Linked DNA regions of Nothobranchius furzeri. The main gene of each other region encodes a partner of the protein of the gene in region 2 in a complex. Links are inferred from orthologs where the notes say so. Each region holds a gene or a part of one and is shown on either strand. Other genes may lie near its edges.

Region 1 (12,405 bases), on a different chromosome or scaffold from region 2:
TGTTGTCCCAGTCCATTATATGGTTTTCTCTTGTGCAGTGATCTGTTACGGCTGATTTCTTTATTGTGCTTTCTGCCTCTTCTTTTGCTGCTCTTGTGTGTTTTCGATTTGCCTCTTTCTCGCACTCCTTTCTATGTTCTGTTGTTCGTGTGCTGAGTTGGCGTCCGGTTTCTCCTATGTATGTCTTATTGCAGAGTTTGCATGGGATTTTGTAAATGACTCCACATTTGTGTCCAGCTGGTATCTTGTCTTTTGGGTGCACTAGTCTGTTTCTAACTGTTGTGTATGGTTTTGTTGGTGTGTTTATGTTTTCTGTTATGCCTCTGATGTATGGTAGGGTTATCACTGGTTTTGGTTCTTGTCTTTCTGGGTTTCTGGTTCTTTGCTTTGGTTGTTTTTTTCTTTCTGTTGTTGTTTGTTTTCTTTTGTTTATTGCCCATGTCGGGTCTTTAAAGCGTGTTGTATGTGTCTGTTCTCTTGTTTACGGTCTCTTTCTTCTGTTACCATGTTTGCTCGGTGATATAATGTTCTGATTACTGACATTTTGTGTATGGTGGGGTGTTCTGATGTCCATAATAGATATTGGTCTGTGTGTGTTGGTTTCCTGTATGTGTTTATGTTTAGGGTCCCATCGGTCTGCCTGGTGATTTTCATGTCCATAAATGCTATGCTGCCTTCTGTTTCTGACTCATAAGTGAACTTTATGTTGCCTGTGTCGTCAATGTTATTCAAGTGTTGTGTTAGTGTTTCTGTTTGTCCTTTTGGTATGATTTCCAGTATGTCGTCTACGTAGCGTTTCCATAGTTTCATTTTGCAGTTTGGGGGGGCGGTGGCTATGGCTTTTTGTTCTAGGTCTTCCATGAAAAACTTGCACAGGGTGGCTGATAACGGGTTACCCATGGCGAAGCCTTCCAGTTGTTTGTATATTGCGTCATCGTATGTGAAGTAAGTGGAGTTAGCTACCAGTCCTATCAGTTGTGCTATGTCATCTGCTGTGAGGTTTGTTCTTTTGTGTAAAGTCTTGTCCTGTCTCATTCTGTTAACTACTATGTCTATGGTTTTTTGGGTTGGTGTTTTTGTGAACAGGGATGTGACGTCATGTGAGATGAGTATGTCGTTGTCTTCTATTGTAATCTCCTTTAGTTCTTTTGCCAGCTCTATGCTGTTTTTGCAGTGTTGATCTGTATTTCCTAATAACGGACTGATGATTTTGCTGATTACTCTTGCCATGTTGTATGTTGGTGTACCTATGCTGTCAACTATTGGTCTAAGTGGGGAGTTTTGTTTGTGTATTTTTGGCATTCCATATATTCTTGGTGTTATGTTTGCTGTAGGAATCCAGTGTTTGTACATTTTTTCTGTTATTTTGCCTTTTTCTTGTAGTGGCTTCAGTAATTTTTTCATGTTTTTCTTAATGTTTTCTGTTGGGTCTTTTTTAAGTATTTTGTATGTTTTTTTGTCTTCTAACATCTGTTGGTTATTTTTTCTCTGTCCATAACTACTGTAGTTCTTTCTTTGTCTACCGGTAGAATAATTATCTGTTCGTTTTTGGATAAAGCTGTCATGACGCCACTATCAGCGTCAGCCTGAGGAAGTTTGCAGCCGCACACAAAACGTAGCGGGAAAAGAGGAAAACAAAAGAACTACAGCATGGAATTAGAGATACGACACAGCAAGAACACACCTAAGAGGTTAAAACTCATCAGTTAAGTCATCTTTAAGAGAATAGTGTCATGGTCTGCGTCCTGCGTCTCCCTCATGTGTCTCCTTGTGTTCTCCATCCCTCTCTAGGTTTCTCTAGGGTTCCCTTATGTGTCTTCTTGTGCTCCTCATGAGCCTCCTTGTGTTCCCCAGCCCACTCCAGGTTTTTTCCCCTTAGGTGTTCCCTCCAGGTTTCAGTGTCCCTGTGTGTCCCCAACCCCCTCCAGGCTCTCTAGGTTTCCCTTACATTTTTCCTTAGACACCTTTTATCATTAGTCTTCTGTTAGGTGTTTTATCTAGTCAGTTTTCTCCCTCTAGTTCATTTTGCTCCCTATCCCATTTTTAGGTCTGGTTTCCTCCCCTGCTCCGTAGTGCTCCTCCTCTGTTTATTGGTCTCACCTGTGCACAATTCCCTAATCACCCAGCCCTTGTGTATATAACCCTGTCTGCGTCTGTTGGTCCATTGTTTTGTATCAGCGTTGTTTTGTCCTCCCCCCTCTTAGGTCTCCAGGTTTATTAGATTTTTTCCTCCTTGGATTTTATTTACTTTATTTCGACTTCCTAATAAAGGAAAGTTTTCATTGACATCTACTCCAGCCTCATGTCGTTCTGGGTATCTGCATTTTGGGTCCTACTCCTCCACTCCTCAGCGTGACAAATAGATGTTTATTTAGCGCAAACTGCAACAGCTAGCTGCAGCACTTTAGTCCTTCTGATAGGATGTTTATGATCATTTGATGAGAAATTGACAGAGGAGCAACATTTTTAAAAATGTTTTTATGACTTGCTTGTTTTTTCAGGTGGCAGCAACACTTTGGTCCTAGCCGTTACCTCATCAGTCTTTTCTGAACTCATCTCTGTTTTTACAAACTGAGGTTGGTAAAGGCACTCTGTTATATTTTAAATTATGTTCTCAAGCCAGTAGGTTCTAGAATGACCCTATCTAGGGTGAATGAATATTCTCTCAGCCCCCTCTGCTCTTTGTGAGCAGAACACCAAATTTACAGCCTGAGCCTCTCTGGATGTATCTCACACTTTACGGCAATCCATGTTTGCACCTCAGAACAGACGCACTACAGATGGTTAGCATTTATTGTATTGTGTTCGTCATGGCAGAGCCTCTTAAAAAAACTATAGATTAAAAAAAATGTCAGACGGACAGAGTCAACATCAGGAAAGCATTCTCTGAAATGTCAGAGCTCAGAGACAAACAAGGAGTTAAGTTGGATGCAATCCTCAGGTAAGATACTAATTATTCACAAGGTTCCTTATTTGTGCAACGATACAAAGCAGATACCTGAGGTTGTTGTAGTTGTCAGGTGGCAGCTTCTGTAGTAAGTCTCTGAACTTCTCCAGCTTCTCTGTCAGGTCCTTTTCCCTGTGAGACCAGAAACACACACTCTAGAGCTGAAATGACTCACTAACACACACACACACACACACACACACACACACACACACACACACATACACACACACACCCTGCTGCTTTGAACCAATCGTTGTAGAGTTCAAAGGTCATCAGGGGTTCGGGAAGCTCTCGAAGATAACACTTCAGGGCTCCTGTGTCAACAAAATTCAGAAAAATATTCACATTAATATAACTTTTTATCATTTGATTAATAAAGTGATGTTGGAACTATAAAATCCATCTGCTGCTGACATTTGAATCACATTTTACAAAAATGGAAACCGAGCTGTGAAAGTCACGAAGGTCGGACAGACGAGGAAGAGCACCCGTGACAGAAACTCGTGCTCTGGGCTGAGAAAAGTCAAGTCAAAGCCAGATGTGTGCATCTGTACCGGCGACAGCGTGAGGGTCCATGCTGAACTCGCTGTGGTCCACCGTTCCCTGATCCAAGCAGATCTTCAGCCTCTTCACCACGGTGGCTGCTGCTGCAAGCCGAAACAAACCCTACAGAGAGACAAGCATTGAGAGGAACAACCATGGGGAGTGCCTGAGCAGCAACATGGAGACAGGAAGTAGTTCTACCTCTTCTCTCATTCCTGTTTCCAGCAGCATCTGGATGCACTCCTGGATGGGAGCAGCGATCTCTCTGCTGCTCTGAGACAGATGTGAGAGTAGAGGTTCCCCGTAGACCTTCTGGTTGGAGAGGCTTAGTGCTGGCTCTGCAGAATCACACACACTTATGAACACGTGCTTATCAACACCGGCCCAAAGCATGCTCACCATTCTGACTGTGGTTCTCTTTGAGCTCGCTGATGGTTTTGTCCAGGAAATCGTGAGAGTTTTTGTGGTATTCTGCCTGCAGCTCAAGAAGCTGATAAAACAAGTGTGATGGTTAAAAAATACCAAACGGAAGATTTGGGTTATGACACACTTGTTGCAACTCACACGGATGAAATAGTTAGCGTAGTCGTTTTCTTTAGTTGCAAAGTGATACAGGTCAGCAGAGTATTGGTCCTATGGAGACAGAGAACAGGTGAGGAGGGGTCAGGAAGACAACAAACTCTCATTAAACCTGCAGCAGATCATGTGATCACAGGAAATTCTGATACCTTGATACTCTCTAACCTCCTCCATGCTTCTTCCAATTCCTCCCTGAGCCCATCCTGCTTTGCCTGTGGGCCAGTGCTAGCCTGACTCCTGTAAACACACACACACACACACACACACACTTGATATTGTAGCTCATGAACATACGCTCTTTCCGGAGGGTGGGCCACTCACCTGATTCTGGCATTGTTCCAGTCTGTAGTCAGCTTTGCAAACTGCTTCTTGTTCTTCAGAATCTCTGGTAAATCCTCCTAAAAGGAAAACTGACTTTAGACTTAAAACCTGAGAAGTTCATCTCAGGTTCTTTAGCCTCCAGGCATCAGGCTAGAGGTTAAAGGTCATGTTAGGACTGACTGAAGCAAGGTTTGTTTGGAAGGGTTGTGGGATAAAAACCTCCTTTGGTTTATAATGTTTTATCTAAATGAACTAGAAGACTTCTGGAATGATGTTCATCAGGCAGATTAAACCAAGGTAGAGATGTTTACCCATAATGCACTGGGTCATGTTTGGTGCAAACTAAATACAGCCTATCAGAACCAAGCTGATCCCAGCTATCAGCACGGTGGTGGAGAGCTGATGGTTTGGGCTCCTTACAGCCTCTGAGTCCATCAGGAACTCCTCTGTAGATCAAAGTTCTCTAGAGCCTAATGTGAGTCTGAAAGCTGAAGTTTGGACCAAACTGGGTCATAGAACAGAACAATGGTCCAAACACAGCAGCAGATCTATAACAGAACAACTAGAATCAAAGTGCTGGTGGTCCAGTCTGAATCCAAAGCTCACTAAGGCTGATTAGCTCTGGTTGCCATTTTGAATTGGGTTGACTCCTGGAGTATCATTCAAACCTGTCCAGTGGTTTATGGGATATCTGTGGTGACTCTGCAGCATGCAGCACTAGCATCACTACCTCACTGAGCTTATTGAGTGGCTCCACCACTTCCTTCTCCACCTTCATCTCAAAGTCTGCCAGCATGTTGGCTAGCATCTTCTCCATGAAGCAGCACATCTCCAGGACTCTCCTGTAACACAGACACACAGGTGTAAAACCACTGGGATCCGCAGAATGAGAGGAAATGGATGGAGGGATAACAGCAGCAGATCAAACCTGTCACCTGATTGAGGACTCTGCATCAAAGTCTTTGAGGCTTTCAGCCATGCTGATAGACAGCAGCATCAGAGGAAGCTTTTTCTGCACATAAGAACATTTTTGTTTTTATAATAACAAAGAATTACTAACATCTTGCAGATATAGCTTCCTTGTACCATTCTTTTCTCAGCCTCCAGCCCCGGCTGACTCTGCATGCAGCCTTGCAGCTTCTTATGGAGGACCTGAGCTGCCTTCTTGGCCGGCTCCACCCGCTGCTCCACCTCCAATTAGTCAGTAAAAAGGTAAAAACATACAGATAAACATTACTATGGTCAGTTTTTATAATGTAATTTTATTGTATTTTGGTATATATATATATATATATATATATATATATATATATATATATATATATATATATGTGTGTGTGTGTATAGTACATATATATTCAGGGTCTATTCAGGGTTCTGGAGAGGAGGGTCCATCGGATGGTTGAGCCTCAGATTCAGGAGGAGCAATGTGGTTTTCGTCCTGGCCGTGGAACACTGGACCAGCTCTATAAGTGGGCGATGGTGGCACAGGAGTTAAGTGCTCGCCCCGTAATCGGAAGGTTGCAGGCTCGAGCCCCACTCAGTCTGTTGCTGTCGTTGTGTCCTTGGGCAAGACACTTAACACACGTTGCCTGCTGGTGGTGGTCGGAGGGACCGGTGGCGCCAGTGCTCGGCAGCCTCGCCTCTGTCAGTGCGCCCCAGGGCAGCTGTGGCTACATCATAGCTCATCCCCACCAGTGTGTGAATGTGTGTGTGAATGGGTGAATGACTCATTGTGTTGTAAAGCGCCTTGGGGGGTTCCAGGACTCTAGAAGGCACTATATCAAATACAGGCCATCTACCATTTACCATACCCTTAGGGGGATCTGGAGGGTGCGTGAGAATTTGCCTAACCAGTCTCCATGTGTTTTGTGGATTGGGAGAAGTCATTTGAACGCGTCCCTCGGGGCGCCCTGTGGGGGGTACTCCGGGAGTATGGTGTACCAGGCCCTCTGATATGGGCTGTTAGGTCCCTGCATGACCGGTGTCAGAGCTTGGTCCGCATTGACGGCAGTAAGTCGGGCTCGTTCCCAGTGAGAGTTGGACTCCGCCAAGGCTGCCCTTTGTCACTGATTCTGTTCATAACCTTCATGGACAGGATTTCTAGGTGCAGCCAAGGTGTGGAGGGCATCCGTTTTGGTGGCCTGAGGATTAGGTCTCTGCTTTTTGCAGATGATGTGGTCCTGTTGGCTTCATCAGAACGTGATCTTCAGCTTTTGCTGGAGTGGTTCACAGCCGAGTGTGAAGCAGCTGGGATGATAATCAACTCCTCTAAATCTGAGACCATGGTTTTGATTCAGAAAAGGGTAGAATGCCTTCTCTGGGTCAGGGATGAGGTCCTGCCCCAAGTGGAGGAGTTTAAGTATCTTGGGGTCTTGTTCACGAGTGAGGGAAAGCTGGAGCATGAGATCGATAGGTGGATTTGTGCTGCATCTGCAGTGATGCGGGCGTTGTACCGGTCTGTCGTGGTGAAGAGAGAGCTGAGTCAGAAGGCGAAGCTCTCGATTTACCGGTCGATCTACGTTCCTACCCTCACCTATGGTCATGAGCTTTGGGTAGTGACCGAAAGAACGAGATCACGGATACAAGCGGCCGAAATGAGTTTTCTCCGCAGAGTGGCTGGGTTCTCCCTTAGAGATAGGGTGAGAAGCTCGGTCATTCAGGAGGGGCTCGGAGTAGACCCGCTGCTCCTCCACATCGAGAGGAGCCAGTTGAGGTGGCTCGGGCATCTGGTCAGGATGTCTCCTGGATGCCTCCCTGGTGAGGTTTTCTGGGCACGTCCAACCGGGAGGAGACCTAAAGGTAGACCCAGGACACGGTGGAGGGACTATGTCTCTCACCTGGCCAGGGAACACCTTGGGATTCCCCCGGAGGAGCTGGCCCAAGTGGCTGGGGAGAGGGAAGTCTGGGCCTCGCGACTTAGGCTACTGCCCCCGCGACCCGACTTCGGGTAAGCGGATGAAAATGGATGGATATATATATATATATATATATATATATATATATATATATATAATAAAGTTTGTGAGGCTAATTTTGATCATGGCAAGTCCTTGTGACTAAGTATTTATTAATCAGAGAAGATGTTTTAAAAACATCCATTTTCATGCAGTTTTTATGTTCTGATTCAAGTGTTTCAACCCGCAATTGCATTGCAACTCTGCTCTTCGGGGCCGATTCCCACTATTAGAACGACCACAAGCTTCTGTTTTGCAGAAGATCGGCCCAAGTTTCCTTCAAAAAAATTATCGTAGGCCTCCAGACTTCTGAACGCTTTTCATTTTAATGAGTGAATGGTCCAAAGTTTTCTGTTAAAAATGAATAAATGTCTCCCCAGCAGATTTGTGAAAACAACACACCCCAGAGCTCAAGCAAACATTTAAAAACTTCAATTTTGTCATCAATACAGATTTTAGGCTTCTTTCTAATCCTCCGCCGGTCTGTGGATGTAATTTTGCCCCTAAACTCTTGTGAAAATGTATGTTGTGTATTAATAGCAGGCCATATTTGTTTTTGCTACACAGCCACTCGTGCATGTGCACGAAGATGTTAACAAAGATTTTCCTGTAGCTACAGTGATCCCTCGTTTATCGCGGTAGATGCGTTCCAGACCTGGCCGCGATAGGTGAAAATCCGTGAAGTAGGGACACCATATTTACAGTACAGTACTATATTGAATTATCGTATGATCACATTCTCTTTTTGTGGGTAAAACTCAAGAAAAAAATCTTTTACTTGGATTTTTTATAATTTTATTACAAAAAGTGCATTTTATGATGAAATTGATGAAAAAAAACAGGAATTTCTTGATATTTCGCATAGAAAAATACCGCGAATCGGTGAAAAATACCGCAAATCTGCGAATTTCCCTTGAATAAGGCTCCAAAGAAAAAATCTGCGAAGTTGTGAATCCGCGATAAACGAACCGCGAAGTAGCGAGGGATCACTGTACACCTAGCTGCAGGTGCTCACTGTGTTCATAGAGCTCTTCATTTAAACTTCCTGTAGGTGCAAGGGGATCAGAAAATGCGTTTTGTCCTCACAAGCTCCTGTAGAAGGAAACGTAGCGTCTAACCCATAGGTCTAACCAGAAACTCAGACCAGCACTCATGTGCATTAGACCTGATTTTAACGGTTATGTTACAGAGTTGCCAATAGTTCCGCCAATAGAGTTTTGATGGATGTTTCCAGAGAATAATGGCAAAAACTTCACATTGTCTCTTTAAGGTGTTTGAAATCAATCATGATGTCAGAAAATAGGTAAAAGGCTCACCACAACAAGGTCTTCGTGTAGAAGGTCTGTGGCATCTTGTGACCTGCTGTAAAGCAACATGTTTGTTAGCCAGTGGCGGCTCCAGAAACTTTTTTCTGCGGGTGCTATGAAGGAGCTAGTCTTTTTATTGAGGGTGCTATGAAGGAAGTGGTCATGCGTACCTATTGTTCTCTAAAACACCTTCAACACTAGCAGATACATATGCGTGCACAACACCTCAACAACACCTGAAACAATCATTAATATACATCATAAACATGTGAACAATCGCTGACTTTTCCATGAAATCATAAACACATACAGCCACACAGAAAACCATCTATAGTGTTGCAAGGTTAGCTAACGTTAGTGTTAGCATTACCAGCGGCAAAACCCTCGACTGCTGCGGTGGTTGAGGGTCGACCCTCTTCATCCAGATTCGTAGGTTTTTGTGGGTCTGAGATCACTTCCAAACATTCATTCGTTTCTGACTGAACCTGTGGAAATTTGGGCCAGTGGCGGAGCCAGGGGGGTGCTAGGGGGCGCTATAGCTACCCCTGGATTAGCCATTGCACCCCCATAGCACCCCCAAGTAAGTATTAGATTTTTCTTTGTTTTTACAAACTAATTTTAATTTAACGTTTGGATGTGATAATATTTAACATACAAAACAAAAATAATCAGTAAATTATCATATAGATAGTAAAAACTTAAACCACAACAGGAAATTGATGTTAACCTTTGACCTCATTTTCCACCTGCGAACGAGTGAAAGGTAAAGCTAGTGGTAAAATGGATCAGTTTTTGTTGCCCACGTTTCCACGGGTTCAGTCAGAAACGAATGAATGTTTGGAAGTGATCTCAGACCCACAAAAACCTACGGATCTGGATGAAGAGAGTCGACCCTCAACCGCTGCAGTAGTCGAGGGTTTTGCCGCTGGAAATGCTAACGCTAACATTAGCTAACCTTGCAACACTATAGATGGTTTTCTGTGTGGCTGTATGCGTTTATGACTTCATGGAAAAGTCAGCGATTGTTCATATGTTTATGATGTATATTAATGATTGTTTCAGGTGTTGTTGAGGTTTTGTGCACGCATGTGTATCTGCTAGTGTTGAAAGTGTTTTAGAGTACAATGGGTACGCATGACCACTTCCTTCATAGCACCCTCAATAAAAAGACTAGCTCCTTCCTAGCACCTGCAGAAAAAAAATTCTGGAGCCGCCACTGATTTGGGCAACAAAAACTGATCCATTTTACCACTAGCTCTACCTTTCACTCGCAGGTGGAAAATGAGGTCAAAGGTTAACATCAATTTCCTGTTTTGGTTTAAGTTTTTACTATCTATAAGATAATTTACTGATTATTTTTGTTTTGTACGTTAAATATTATCACACCCACACGTTAAATTAAAATTAAATTGTAAAAAAAAAAATCTAATATTTACTTGGGGGTGTTATGGGGTGTAATGACTAATTCAGGGGTAGCTATAGCCCCCCCCCCCACCCCCCCTGCCGGCGCCACCACTGCTGTTAGCTAATCCAGTTTATACATATTTACCACCTGGGGTGGGTTTCAGTCAAAAGTTTGGAAAATATGTAAGAAGCAGCTTCAGAAACTTCAGATTAAAGGAACAGAGTTGAATTCTGACAACACAGCCCGCCAGCACTAACCCAATATTTTAGTGAAACTCACCCATACATTGTTACTTTAGCAAAAATTATATTAAATTTTAGTCAAACCTGTTAATCACTCTTTTTTGGTGCAAATACGTCCCACAGAAAAATGAATAACTATAATAAAATTTGACATAAAGCAGATTTCATCTTCTTAAAAATAATTTTGCTGCTTTTTTAATACATTTATGCGAGTGACTGATGTGACTCTTTCAAGCTTTTTTAGTTAAAGTTTTCACACTATGATGACATTATTAAAAACACCAAATTCAATTACAAATTCATTAAAAGTCAACTGAATTGGTATGTTTCAACCCCAGATAACTCTGCACATCAAATGTCAACGCTTCCAAAGACGCAGCAGAAACACTCTGACATGGCATTTGTACTAACAGTGTAAAAACAGCGTAAAATGTAAAGCTGTGAAGAGTCCACAAAGTTAGTGATAATGCACAATGTTCAGTATAGTTCAGAGCCACTGAGAGGAGGAAATAAATAAGAGGAAGTGATGAAATACAACTGCAATTTAAATGTCTGGTAAAAATCAAAACATAATAGCTGGAAAGGAAAGAAAAGAAACGAAAGTACAGAGGAAATTGTAAAAAAACAACAATATTATGAAAAAGAAAACTATTTCTAAAATCTAAAGCAGGGATATTCAATTTGATCTTTTTGTTGGGGCAAATCGTCATAAGGCTTTTGTATGCAGAGAAAAAAGATCTGTGTGTATCTAGATTTGTGTGTGTGTGTGTATCTTTTGTTCTCCCCATACTTTTGCCAGTGGGCTGCTCATCCATCTCTTGTATTGTGCCATTGTCTTTTCTTTTTAGTCAGTATGCACACAATTCAGAGATGTTAATGTAGGGTTCCAAGTGAAAATCACACAACTTTGCTGATAGTTTAGAGTCAGTTTCTTTATTTTTGTTTGTTGATTCGCTGAGTCTGTTGGTGAGTTGTCTAGAAAAGCCTCCGTAAATTGTATTCTCCATCTACTGAGCAAATGACACGATGGACAAGGCATATGGGTTTCCCTCAGCTTTTTGGACTTAACAGTCCAGATGTCACTTAATTTTTTTATTTTCACTGTCAACCATATGTCTCCTCTCTTTTGTGACTTGTTTTCCCAAGAAACTGCTGTTGTAAACTTTCCACTAGCAGCATAAATGGCAAATAAATACTTGCCTTAAAATATTGCAAAACGTTAACGATCACACTTACAATTAAGTTGCAGCAATTAAATAAAAAAATTACGAAGAGGTATCTGGGCAATGGGCCAGTGGGCCGCCTATTGAATGGAGCTAGTCCCTATATGTGCTCTTGTAGCAGCATCTTCAGCACAACTTCCTTAAATCCTTCACAATAAGAGTCTCAAACACAATATAAACTAGTGGAGTTTTATTATAAAACAATACTAATAAGCTTTTTGGAGGGTTCAGGAACACAATAAACATTGCTTCCTTCACAAATCTTCAAACAGCTTACTTTAGACATTTTTCTGGAAATAGGATTTCAGCTGTTGTAGTGACATTCTGACTAGTGGCCCTAATAGGCTTCTGTACATAATGAGAACTGGCTGTTTATGTAGACATGAGCTCATTTGTAAAACAAAATGCAATTCCATTTTTGGAAATTTTCAAAATAAAATTTGGTGATTTCGATCGAAAATGTTTTGTAAATGAACTAGATGTGTGTGTGCACGTGTGTGTGTGTGTGTACCTTTTTGTTCTTTGTATTTAATAGCCTTTTTTTTATGTAGACGTAAATTCTGAGAACTTTTTACCACAAACTTTCCTTATCTCTGTCTCTGTCAACAAACTGAAAGACAAACAGATCAAAGGGCATCTGTCCACCTCTGAATCTTCCTGTTTGTTCTCATAAAATATTAAAATCTAACTAACATGTGGTGTTTTTGCACTGATGCAACCCTTAGAGTGACAGGGTTGCACTAATCTACTGATCTCACAGCTGTTTCTGACATTGAAAACATCAGTCTCCCACTTTGCACCTCCTCTGCTCTGAAACTTCATCTGTCTGCTTTCAGAGGTGAGAAACAAAAGACATGTGAAGCATGGAGGGAGTGGGC
Region 2 (12,405 bases):
CTCATGAGATACGTATGTGGAGTAACCAGGTAGGTAGGTTTTAACTTGCAAATCTGCAACGCCTGCCTCCTGAGGGTTAATGTTATTTATAAAAAAATCTGAAATGACGAAGTGTACTCGGCATGATTAGGTGTTAAAAAACAAAACGCATCTAGCTCCTATCTTAACGAAGCTGCACTGAAGAGCTGATGGTTGTTCATTTGGATCATTGTTGCTCTGCCTTGTGACGCAAAGCAGTATGTCCCTCATCTTAGAAACATGAAGTTGTGCTAATCAAAATCTTTGAATTTCCTTTCAAGTACGACTTTTCTGTAACAGCGGCCACCCTCCCGACTGCTGTATATATTGCTTTCCTGCTGGTGACGACCTCGTTACTGTACTTCCGGTTTAAAACTTATTTGGTGGCTCTGCTGAGATCTTGTACAGTTTGTGTGCTTGTGGGTTGCCTGTAATTCATGCTTGGAAAATTGTGTAACATAGTTTCTAATAATTGTAAAGGACAGACACATAGAAAGCCCTCACTCCCCCAACCACCTTGTCTGCACACTACTGAACTTGCTTGTCAAGGGGCAAGGAGGTGGAATGAGATGATGTCATGCAAGCCAGTACTTACGTCTGCAAATTTTGTCTCATCTTATTTCCGTAAAGAGTGAAGAACAGAGCACATTCATGTTTATATTTTTCTTTTTCCACCCAACCATGGTTCACCTGTTCGGGAGGAGCCGTCATTGCAATCTTAACTTTGGGGGGGGGGGGGGTATTTGTTTTTGTGGGACGGCTGAGCTTCCCTCTGTGTTCCTCTTCAGTACAATTTTGAGTGAAAATACGTAAATATGTATACATTTTTAAGGAGCTGCGCTAACATTTAAATGCGTTCTTACGTGTATATGATTTTAAAATGTTGACATTTTGATTTTAATGATAAAATACTCTAGTCAGAAAAAAATAAATTATACATAACCTGAATCTGTGTGTGTGTGTTTGACTTTATGAAAGAAAATGTGGTGGCAGGAAATAACATTAAGATTCTAATTTGTATTTCAAGTCGCACAATGGCTTTGTATTTTATTGCAACAAAAATTGCACCCAGGTTAGAAAAGAAACATTTACAAAAGAAGGCAATTTGTTTACAAAACTTAGTGGTATGTACGGGTTTTTTTATAGAGGGGAATAAAAGGCAACCATGACCGTACCAAAAGTCAACGCAGGTAACAGAAACATTTGTCCTCAGGCTTCGCAGTCAGGCGGGGCACAAAATAATACAACCACTACAGAACAAATACTGAAAATGTTCAAGAGATGCAAATGAAGGAAAATAAAAAGATGAGTACATTTTCAGTCCAGTGTTTCCCCCAGGACTTCTTTATTTCTGGGGTGGAAGGTCTTTACATACTGTAGGCCTTTATTTTTGATAAAACCCTATCAGGAAAACAGCCTGTTGACCTTGTTGCCCCGATCCAACGCTATGCTACCGATGGCTTTTATTTGAGAGAAATCTGTATCGTCAAACATTTGCATATATTAAAAAATAAGATCCAGTCTAAGAAAAGGGTTCAACAGATCACCAAATTGCAGATCATGCACCTGTGCCAGTCGGTACAGCCAAGAGGCGTGCTGTTTTTTTTCTCTAGTGGAATTGCAAACATTTACGTTCCGTGAACCAAAAGCCACTCTCAAGCATGCCAAAGCTTTATATTTGCACCTGAACGTGTGAAGGCTGAAGCAGGCCTGCTGGTAGTGTTACAGGCACCGTTTGTTACCCAAGTGTGCAGGAAAGCAACATAGTGAAGGAAGGCTGGAGGCTCAAAACTACCTTAAGCCAATGCTCCCATTACTTTATGGCACGTGGTTGCCAACACTCTTAAAAACACACTTGCACAATCTCATCCGCATACAACCCAATACGAAAATACAACTTAAAATGCATCGATGAGGTTAAGTGTTTATAGTAATTGTCGAAGCTCAACAAAAACGAATGAAAGCAGACATTTTCATGATCGTACTGATTTGTGGGAGGGGTTAAATCAAATAGAATACATAAGACATCAATTGGAAGATGATTGGTGACATGGAGAATTGGCCCCAGCCTCATTAAGGCCTACGTGATGTGCATTCAAAGATACAACTGTCTAAAAAGATCCACATACATTTTCAGCTGACTCAGTTCATTGTAACCACAGGATTAATAGTCAACTGTAACGAACCTACAGCGCTGTTCTCAAATGCATCACACCCCTCACTGGCCACAACACAGAAGGAGTAATGGAATTTAAGTTCATATAGTCTCGATCATTGGACGTTTAAGGTGCTACCTCTGAACTATGTCCGTGATCTCCTTAATCGAGGACAGCAGCTTTTTGAAGTCCTGCTGAGCACTAGAGCCCCCCGTGGCAGAGGGGCAGATTTGAAGCTCACGCAAGCTGGTCTCAAGCTTGTTGTTGGCCTCTCGAAAAGCAAACTTGTTCCTCATATGTTGAATGGAGTCAACATAGCTCGTGCAGTACTTCGACAGGTTCTTGCCGGTCTCCAGCACGGCGCTGTGGCTCCCAGTTTGATCCTCCATGCGGGAGATGGCGAGGAAAAGCTGCTCTGCCCCATCCAGCAACATGTCACGCGTCACGGCTGAGTTTGGTGTGCGCTCGGAGGATTGGCGGGGCGCTGTCTTGCGGAGAGAGCGTCGAGCAAATGCGGTTGAGTTCTGATCGGTGTTGGGGGTGAGAGAGAAGCCTCCCTGGCTCAAGCTGGAGGGAGAAAGGGTCAATGAAGTGGAGGGTTTGAGCGGTTTATAGGTAGAGCTCAGGGGCGCCTTTTTGGATCCCTCACTGGTGGGCGAGCGTGCTTGGTCACTAGCAGCAACTGTGTGGTGGGAATCTGAAATGGAAGGAAGGTACTTGATTTTGATGTCTGAGGGGGAAGACGAAGGGGAAGACGAAGGTGAGGGGAGTTCTTGAGTGGGGCTACGGGCGATCTTACTGGTTTTGGCACCAGTGGGAGGTGGAGGTGGGGCTGGTTTGGGTTTCTGGAACTTCCCTCTTCCCCTGACAGACGAGGACTCTACCATGTGCTTGCCTCTGCGGGCTTTGCACTCTTCAACTCCTCCTAAAGTGAGTAACACTTCAGCACCGATCCTGGAGTTCTCCTGCCCGGGCACACCGGGTCTCTTTACCACCTTTGGTGTCAATGCCTGGAAACTGGGACCAGAACAGGGTTCTGTGTCTTTTCCAAGGAGAGAAGAAGAGGCCTCTGAGGAAGTGTTCAGACGTGGTGGAGGAGTCAGGGTGCCCATTCGCCGGGTGTTCTCTCCTTTCTGCTCATTGGTCCTCTTTACCGGGAGAGCTGGTTTACCTCCAAGAGTGCCTGACTGAAAGTGGCGCTGGCCCAGATCTCGTGGCAAAGTGACTGATTTCCACTCAGTACCACCTCGACCATTGGACATGTTGGAAGGCAAGAGGAACCGGTTTGAATTAGAAACGGACTCCTCTTCACTAGGTGGTGTCATGGCCATCTTGCTCCCAGGACCAGGTGCTGTAGAAGCTGCCTTCTTTCTGGAGTACGAAGTTCCTGGGTAGTTAGCATTACCTCCTGCACCATTATTGATAGCAACCAAAAACTTTGAAGATTCAGTGCTAGGGGATGTGTCATTAAGTGACAAAGATGCACCGTTGTTGAAATTGTCATTGTCTTGAGGATCAGGAGTCACAACTCTCCTGTCGGTGTGGAAGTCGTCTCTGAAGGAGGAGCTGCGTACAGGTGGAGTTGGTGCACTCTTTTTCTTTTTCTTGATGAGGCTGAGGAAATTACTGACACGTGTCTTGTCTCTGGGCATCAAGCGGTCGTCTTCATTCAAGTTGTTGTCCAGCATGGAGTGCTCTTTCCTATGAAGCATTGGTGAGGAAACAGCCACCTCCGGATCCACTGGGTCTGAGGAACACCACAGACACGTCGCAGGTGAGAAAAACAGGAAAAAGTTATCCAATAAAAAATACATAAAATAATGAAAACTACTAAAATTTATGTGACATTTGAAAATGAAACATTTGAAACCACTTCTATAGCCACAACTCCACTATAAAAATTGTACAAAATTTCTGAGAGAGGGAAAATATGATGGCTCGGTCTGGTCCTCCCAGCCCTTTTAGGACTTAGCTATTACATCAGTATAACACAACTGCTTTGGCGGTGAGGGACGTCACTGATTAGATGCAAAAGGCGTCCACAGACATTTATAACATTAAAGGAGTTTGATTTTGTCAAAGTACGTAGGTCACATCGTTCAGGGCAATGGTTCCTAACCTTTTTTCACGAGAACACCCTTTCCTGTGTCCAAGACAAGCCAGGGCCCCCCAACCCTTACTCCTACGTGCATGCACACAATTAAAGTGAATAATTACAAATATATACAGAGTGGTGCCTCTATTGGGTGTGTTATCTGGATTTTATAAATGTAGTTTTTACAACTATAATCCTGGTAATCTCATAACTGCAGCACATACAAAATTGTGGGGAACCCCTTGGGGAGTCATGGACCGCAGGTTGGGAACGACTGGTTTAGGGATGGCAGAGAGCTCTTGTTTGACATGAAAAGCTGCAATCAATAAACAGAAGAAACACTAGTTTTTATTGTGCTCTTACTAAAGACCATACAGCAGCAGAAAGTGGTGCGTTGTGGAGGAACTGTTGCCAGACTTGTTGGCATTGGGACTCTAGAAACAGCAACTTTAAAGCAGTACCAACGCGGCTTATTTTCTTTTTCTTCCATTCTGCTTCACCAGAAACCCTTCCAATTTCTAAATACCAGCTGTTTGGTGACGTCTACCGATAGAATTATTTCCCACTGAATGGCTTAGAAAGCAGTCCTTTCGGCTCGGCCCAGTAAAATGGAGCAACGCAAAAAAACTGTGAAGGTCTGGTAAAAAATTACCCAGAAGTTCCGAAAGTGGAAATAAGTCCAACACCTTGAAGCCCAACCAGAACTAAAAAGATAAATCAACCATAAAGAAGACAAGCAACCAGAGAACGTGACGTGCATCCCACCTGGACTGTCTCTGTCCCTGTTTTCCGTGTTTCTGCGGAAAGGTCTGGTCTTGGTGGGCAGCTCTGGAGCCTGCTGGGTGGAGCCTAATGTTGTCTTCTTCCCCTTTTTCCCCAGCTCCTTCTCAACCTCTGTAATTACACAGATCATGTGTTAACATTTTCAAATACCACTGTGATTCGTTTCTTTTAATTAGGATATCTATAATTCAACACTAATTGTTTTTCTGATGATAAGAAGCAGCACTGACCATCAGAGATGCTGGATTCCTGGAACATGGTCTCAAAGGCTTGGTGTGTTTCAGCAAAAGTTGGCCGTTCCACAGGGTTCCACCTCCAACCTGACAGGAAAAGTGGAATATGCATCAAAACATGTCCTGAAGAAAAGAAAATGGCTGGATTTTTGTACTCACAAGCTGTCATGAGCTCGTAGACCTTCTCTGGACAGCCTTCAGGTCGTTCCATGCGGTAGTCTCTTTGCAGCAGCTCATAGACTTGTGACAGGTCTATGCCAGGGTAAGGAGACATGCCGTAGGTGGCAATCTCCCACAGCAGCACACCAAATGCTAATCAAGAGACAAAAATAAAGAGTTTACAGGAAGAGTTAGATAATGTAATAGGGGAATAAAAAAATAAGAAAACCTACCCCAAACATCAGATTTATTAGAGAATGTGTTGTAGGCCAAACTCTCTGGAGCAGTCCACTTGATGGGGAACTTGGCACCAGCATGAGCGGTGTACGTATCTCCAGTCATTAGGCGACTCAGACCAAAGTCTGCAACCTTCACCAGGTGGTTTTCACCCACCAAACAGTTGCGGGCAGCCAAGTCCCTGAGGATAAAGACTAGTTAAAGGGACAATTTGCAACTTTTTCATATTTTTAAATCATTTTCCTCTGCCAGTATGTGCTAAAATGACCCTTTACAGGATTAATGAAAGGCCACCCAGCCCCTATTGCCCCCTGTGGCCAGAATATTGTACTTGCAACATCACAGCTGCTGGTCCGGTCTGCTGGGACTAAAGTCTAATTTAGACTTCGTCTGCGCCGGGACGGAGACACGCAACGTCATTATCCATCCTCGCAAGCCTGCTGGAGATCCCTCGTAAGGACAGGCGGAGTTGAGCTTTTTTCTAAACATCTGTTCGACGAGACGGAGAACGCAAGCTTGTGATTGGTTAGGACGCTGCTGTCGTCTACAACCCCACCACTGCGCCCTCAAAAACAAAGAGAGCCGAGGATATCGAGCGGCAGACACAGAGAAGCTTGAAGAAGACTTTGTGGAAAAACTCTAAAAATATGAACGTTTTATTCCCCCGTGACTGGAGGAGTGAAAAGATGCGCAGCAAGTGTTTAATTTGTGGACGGAAATGACGGGAAACATGGGTTTAGAGGTGGTGAGTGCATGAAGAGGTGGAGGAGAACGACGGACAAATTTGCCCGTGTAAAAGTATGAAATAAAACTAACACAAGGATACCCCAGAACAGCGCTACGCCCTCTGTTGTCTTGGCGGGGAATTGCTTTGTGACACTTCCCAGCAAACGGAAAGTATGAAAGCAAACAGTCTCCGTCTGTGCGTGCGTGTCTCTCCCTTGTGGAGCTGATGCAGAAGTATGAATTAGACTTTAGAAAAAAATGAGCTGAGGTACCTGACGCAGCAGTCTGCTTCCATCATGTTTCCTGCATGTTTTAGATCATGAACCCAGCTGATTTGTTTAATTTAGTGATGAATCACTCCTGTAGACACTTAGGACCGCTGGCAGACGTTTCAGCTGGTAGATTGAAGTGTTAAAAAGATGAACGCAAAGCGAGGAGGAGAGTAAACTGACACAAGGGGGTGCTAAAAGCAAGCAAAACTGCTTAGTATCCCTTTAATAGGACTCTATGTAACACACTGACACTGTAGGTAACGGTAATGGTAACTCACTGCCATTAGTAGGATAAAGATATGTGAAATACCATCTACACACGGATGTTGCAGCATCAATGACCCTTCAGTTGTTCTATAATTGAATTTAGCCACCTGTGTATGAAGTTTTTCTTCTCCAGGTACTCCATGGCAGAAGAGATCTGAGTGGCCATGTACAGCAGCACCACGGCATTGACCTCTTCTCTGTTGCACTCTCTTAGGTAGTCCAGCAGGTTTCCGTGGGTCATGAACTCTGTAATAATGTAGAACGGCGGCTCTCGTGTGCACACACCTGCCAGCAACGTGTATAAAAAACGAAAACAAAGTTAGACTTTGATGCCTCCTTAATCAGATTTCATGAAAGGTTACAGCCGTGTTGAATGAATCTAGTGAGACATTTGGAGAATTTTTCATATGCACATGTATTTAGAACATACCCAACAGCTGCACAAGGTTAGGGTGTTTGATTTCTTTCATAACAGCAGCCTCTTTGAGAAACTCCTCCACCTCCATTGTGTCTTCCTGCAGATTTGACCAAAAGAAAAAAAACTGTAAACTGGGTGCAGTTGCTTCTTTGTTGCAGCAGATGGCAGCATTATTTAGTCAGATTCACAATGTTTCCACCGGGCACAGCTACATTAACTCCCGTCCTTTGTTCATACCTTAAGTGTCTTGACAGCCACAGTGAGGTTGTATTTCTTCCAGACACCTTCGTAGACCTCCCCATACTGGCCCCCTCCCAGTTTGTGCTTCATGGTGATGTCAGTGCGCTCCATCTCCCACTTGTCATAGTTGGGAGAAACTCCATAGATGGTGGGCTTGTTGCGTTTTGCTGCTGGGTAATGCAGAGTGGTGATGAGTCCATCCTGCACGGTGGAGTGGTGGTGCACCAGCTCTGCTAATGTGTTGAAACGGCTCTCTGATGAGACATACAGCTGATGGGAGAAGAGTTTTTACAGTCAATCAAATATATTAGAAACATTATTTCAGCACTAACACAATCTAAATTTACTTTATTATTTAAGAAAAAGACTTTTTAACTGCGTTCTAGTGCTAGAAAGTCTGGTCTGAAAACAAAATGAAATGGTATAATCTGGAAACAGTTATAACTGGAAAAGTTGTGCTCTTGGCCAATTCCAAGCTTGCACGGCATTTGTCAGGAAGCTGGTGGACAGAAGGATATTGGTCAGGGCTCAGTGGACACAGACTTTTCCATTATTCAAGTCTTACATAATACTAAAAATGGTTTCCGCCAGTATGTTCCGTGTGAATTACTTTGCATTTTATTAGCTTGCATTGTGCAAGACTAGGGGGACACAGAAGACAGAGGTAAAGAATACTCTTAAAAACCCTTAAAAGATGTGCACAAGCGTAAAAATAGAACTAATTGGACAAATGATATGCAGTCTTGATATACTGGAACCATCGGTTATCCTGCCACTGAGTGAGTGGAAAACGATGCGAGAGGAGAAATATCCATGTGTCTGTGTTTGTGCATTTGCTTTTTCATGTGCGAGCAGACATACTTGGCTACATCTGTCTGCACTAAGCCTTTCTCAGCATGGGTGTGAATATCTGGGTCAGGCCTCCTGTTCGCTGCTTGTTACCAGAAGCACAGTGGTGGTCAAAGACATTTTTGTCATAGCTAAAGTTCCTGAAGCTAGCTCACCTCGTTTCATCACACACAGAAGGGTGGCACAAGCAAAAGGCAGTCCCACAACAAGGACTAAGCTCTAATCTCAACCTAACCTGAACTCCTGAACTTATCTGAGCACAGCAATACAGCTGTCAAATAGTGTTGTGGGATTTTCATAGACCAATATGAAAGGAACGATACTAGTGTGCTACAGCTTTGTTTCAACTAATGTCAAAATGCATTCATCCATAAAACTCATTTAAAGGGTTAAAAACAAGAATTGAGAAGCTTTTGAGTGACTTTTTTGTTTGGTTTCAACAGTAAAATTTGTGCCTTTCACACTATGTTACAAGCTCTTTGCAGAATGTTTTACAGCGTTTAGAGCAGCAGCGAAGGGTACAAACAGGATGTTTAATCCTTATTTTTTGTAACACTTAAGTCAGCACATAAAGACTGGCAGCACTATTGTCAACACTAGCCAACACAAACATTTCCCCTATTATTCTCTTTAGACTCCACACCTGAACTGAAAATGTATCAAACCGGTATGACAGTAAAAAGAGATGTGAGCTGAAGGCTCTGCTATAAGGTTGAAAGATGAAATAAAATGCATTTATGATCATCTGTAACTTGAGAGAAGGCATGTTTGAAATATATACTCCAAGTTTCTGATATGGCCAACCTTGCCGTCTGATGCAGTGTTGATCCTGTAATGGTACACTCTCCCCTCATAACGCAGAGAAATGGACCTCTGTCCGGGGCTGCTCTCGCTCTCTCGGACCAGAAAGCTTCCGTTGATGCCGGAGCTGAGCAGGTACTCTGCGGCGTTGCGCGACACGGGTCCGTGGTACCAGCTGTGCTTCTCCAAGCTGTTGACCGGAGTGATGTAGTTGGACGGCACCCATCCCTGGCCATTCTTGGTCTGGGCCTCGCACCACTCACGGTTGGGGTTGTAACACAGAACGCGTAACTTCTCTCCTAAAACAAAAAGGAGTCAAAATTAGCCTGAAATCTCAAACACTAATTATTTTTAGATAATGGAAAAAAGTCATGAAGTAAACCTAATAGTTATAAGATCTGTTATCTAGCAAAATATATCCTAAGAAAAACAAGTCTTAATTTTATCAACATGCGGAGTGATCCGATGCTAGACGTTTTATTGTTTACTTTAACGACTATGTTCCCTCCTTCCTTCCTCCATTTGTCTGGGTGATCCATCTGCAGTATTGTTTTACAGTTGCTTCGGTGGAAAAAGACCCATGAGTCAGAGCTTTGTCAGGAAGTGGGAATCAGATGGGAGCGGGAAAAAGAGGGGGCACAAACAAGGAGATTCCCAGTGGGAAAATCTCCCTAAAGGGACATTTATTCACTATCTGTGTCCCTTCCAATCAAAGGACACTCCTAAGGTTGGACATTTTGGAAAAAAAAAAAAAAAAGGAAAGGTTTGCTGTAAATAGTTTGTGCTGACTATGCGTTTAAGGTGACTAGAAATATTCTACTAGTTAATTACATAGGTATAAGCAGGGATCTAAAAATTTAATTTAAGATCCTTTCAAGTACTGCACAAAATACTGCATTGCTTCGTTTTCCGCTTCAACAGGTGGCGGGATATGCCACGTCCAGGAAGGCAAGGCTGTAGCAGTGGTACGAAAAGTTGCGTGGTACGAAAACGCAAGCAAACAGCCGGCATAGGAGAACAAAAAATAATCTTATTTTATTAGTTTACTTGCATTTATTTTTCATACCTGCAAACTCTGAAGGTGTGAAAAAGGTGACAAATGTCATATTTGGCTTCTACAGGGACCATATTCTAGCCTAGCGAACTAGACCAAATTCTTGCTTCGCAAAGTTTATACTCACATAATTAGTCTGGCTTGTTTGCAAGTATGAGACAAATGTATTTAATCCACGTCAATACTAACCAAATTTAAAACTACCGGTATTTAAGAAAGATGATCTAAGATGATTTAGGAAAATTTACGGGTCTTTAATTCGATTTAAGGCTTTTAAAGACTTTGCAAGACCCCGCGATTACCCTGATTCATGCCTGGTTACAAAACCTTCTTGCTGAACACACCCCAAATAAGCCGTTACCTTTAGTGATGCTCAGTGTGTTGTCACCGCTTGCAACAAAATCGTAGAGTGCAACAAAAAGGTTGGGGTCATTCTCGCTGGGTCCTGCCAACAGGTTCTCTTTGGAGTTCCAGCGGGCTGCTTCTGACAGACCCTGACTCTCAAAGTCTGGCCTTTGGAGAGCTTCTAAGAAAAACACAAAGATAAAAGCCCATCAGAAGAGTGACAAACACAAGATATGTAGGTGAATGTGATACAAGCCTGTGATGCCCCTTTTTCCCCAACACAGATTTATAAAAACTCAACAATTCAGCAAGAATTTTGTAGAATTGCTCCACCTGCTCACAAGTAAGTCACCTGTGATCCCACAAAGGGGTAGAAGTAATGAACCCGATCTTACGACCTCCACTGTCCCTCATGAATCAGCAACTTTTCACTTCCTGGATTATCCTTACTTACCTTTTAATTTTCTCTGAAACTTGAATGTAGATGACTATCCCACATCAAAACCACGAGCATCCAACTCAACCTGTAACTTTCATGGTGTCTGTAAATTGTAATGCATAAACCTCACAGCAAGACAACCCAAGTTCAAAGAGCTCTAGTTATGTTAATGACAGACTATATGAATTATAGCAATTTTAGAGCAGTATAAGTGATGGATAAAATAAGGTATGTGAGAAAATAAGAGTAAAGGAATATGGCATTTGAAAGCAAGATCACAAAGACTGTTTGTGGTGAACACAAGTTTAGCTGGTTGGTTACCAATGTTGATACACGTCTGACATTTAATACCCCCAGCACAGCTCAAATATTTTTAACACCAGGCTTACCTGCATTTGGTTTTAAATTTGCAGTTAGATGTGAAACAGAAAATTTTCATTTTAAATGTCAAGGTTGAATTTAATAGCCACAAAGCTCATAAAACGTGAACTTAATCCTAGAAAATTGTATAATTGTTGGATAACTATAATGTGTGTGTGTGTGTGTGTGTGTGTGTGTGTGTGTGTGTGTGTGTGTGTGTGTGTGTGTGTGTGTGTGTGTGTGTGTGTGTGTGTGTGTGTGTTAACTAATATGCAGATTTAGGTCAAACTGGCCCAATGAAAACATTTGAATGCAAAAACATTTCAGCTTTTTGTATTGGACACCATCTTGGCCTATTCTACAGTCGGCTGTTTAACGAAGTGATGTTGTTGGTAAATCTAGTTCACCTCAGCCTCATCGGCTTTAAAATCAGGGCCTTGACTTTCCCTTTCTAAATCACTTCTGACAGTGGAACTTCACCACAACGTCTCATATACACACTGGTTTGTGTGCTTGGATTTGAGTAAATCTAGTTTGGTTTTTGTCATATCCCACATTATCAGAATCTCCAACTGCTTTGCCCCATTATTGGTGCTAAGGATTCACAGCACAGGATTTAAATCAGACATCAACATTAGTTCATTTCAAATGCATCCACTCATCCAGTGACATATTGTTCTAATAAAATAACAATTTGGCTGCTAATTGGCTGATGAGGCCATTTCAGCTTTAGCAACTTTCAGAACTACTAATGGAAGAGGAAACGAGTCAATAAAACTGCAAATGAGATGGATACTCACAAAGGTGAAAACAATTAAATAAATTTGATGCCAGAGGTCAGAGGAGAATGGCCAGACTGGTTCAAGATGATAGAAAGGCAACAGTAACTCAAATAACCACTTGTTATAAACAAATTATGCATCTCTGAATGCAAAACATGTCAAACCTTGAGG

Evidence for each region.
Region 1: the proteins of abl1 (region 2) and sh3bp1 are in contact, whole or in part, in a crystal structure (PDB 1ABO), measured with the Mus musculus proteins. The link is inferred for Nothobranchius furzeri from reciprocal best matches to the Homo sapiens genes ABL1 and SH3BP1. Residues at the interface, in NP_033724.2 of Mus musculus: Tyr70, Phe72, Ser75, Gly76, Asp77, Thr79, Asn94, Glu98, Trp99, Trp110, Pro112, Asn114, Tyr115; in NP_001303613.1 of Mus musculus: Ala607, Pro608, Thr609, Met610, Pro611, Pro612, Pro613, Leu614, Pro615, Pro616.

Annotation. Positions count from the first base shown.
Region 1 is NC_091756.1:27,535,654-27,548,058, forward strand, and holds part of sh3bp1 (SH3 domain-binding protein 1), read right to left. Parts: intron 8,713-12,405; coding exon 8,667-8,712; intron 5,585-8,666; coding exon 5,480-5,584; intron 5,406-5,479; coding exon 5,329-5,405; intron 5,236-5,328; coding exon 5,124-5,235; intron 4,471-5,123; coding exon 4,394-4,470; intron 4,310-4,393; coding exon 4,222-4,309; intron 4,127-4,221; coding exon 4,058-4,126; intron 3,984-4,057; coding exon 3,893-3,983; intron 3,832-3,892; coding exon 3,695-3,831; intron 3,617-3,694; coding exon 3,505-3,616; intron 3,265-3,504; coding exon 3,183-3,264; intron 3,080-3,182; coding exon 2,999-3,079; intron 1-2,998. UniProt on the Homo sapiens protein: GTPase activating protein (GAP) which specifically converts GTP-bound Rho-type GTPases including RAC1 and CDC42 in their inactive GDP-bound form.
Region 2 is NC_091746.1:53,698,973-53,711,377, reverse strand, and holds the end of abl1 (tyrosine-protein kinase ABL1), read right to left. Parts: intron 10,835-12,405; coding exon 10,670-10,834; intron 9,554-10,669; coding exon 9,258-9,553; intron 7,875-9,257; coding exon 7,602-7,874; intron 7,462-7,601; coding exon 7,377-7,461; intron 7,232-7,376; coding exon 7,054-7,231; intron 5,863-7,053; coding exon 5,678-5,862; intron 5,598-5,677; coding exon 5,445-5,597; intron 5,373-5,444; coding exon 5,283-5,372; intron 5,164-5,282; coding exon 5,035-5,163; intron 3,922-5,034; coding exon 2,309-3,921; 3' UTR 1,873-2,308; downstream 1-1,872. UniProt on the Homo sapiens protein: Non-receptor tyrosine-protein kinase that plays a role in many key processes linked to cell growth and survival such as cytoskeleton remodeling in response to extracellular stimuli, cell motility and adhesion, receptor endocytosis, autophagy, DNA damage response and apoptosis.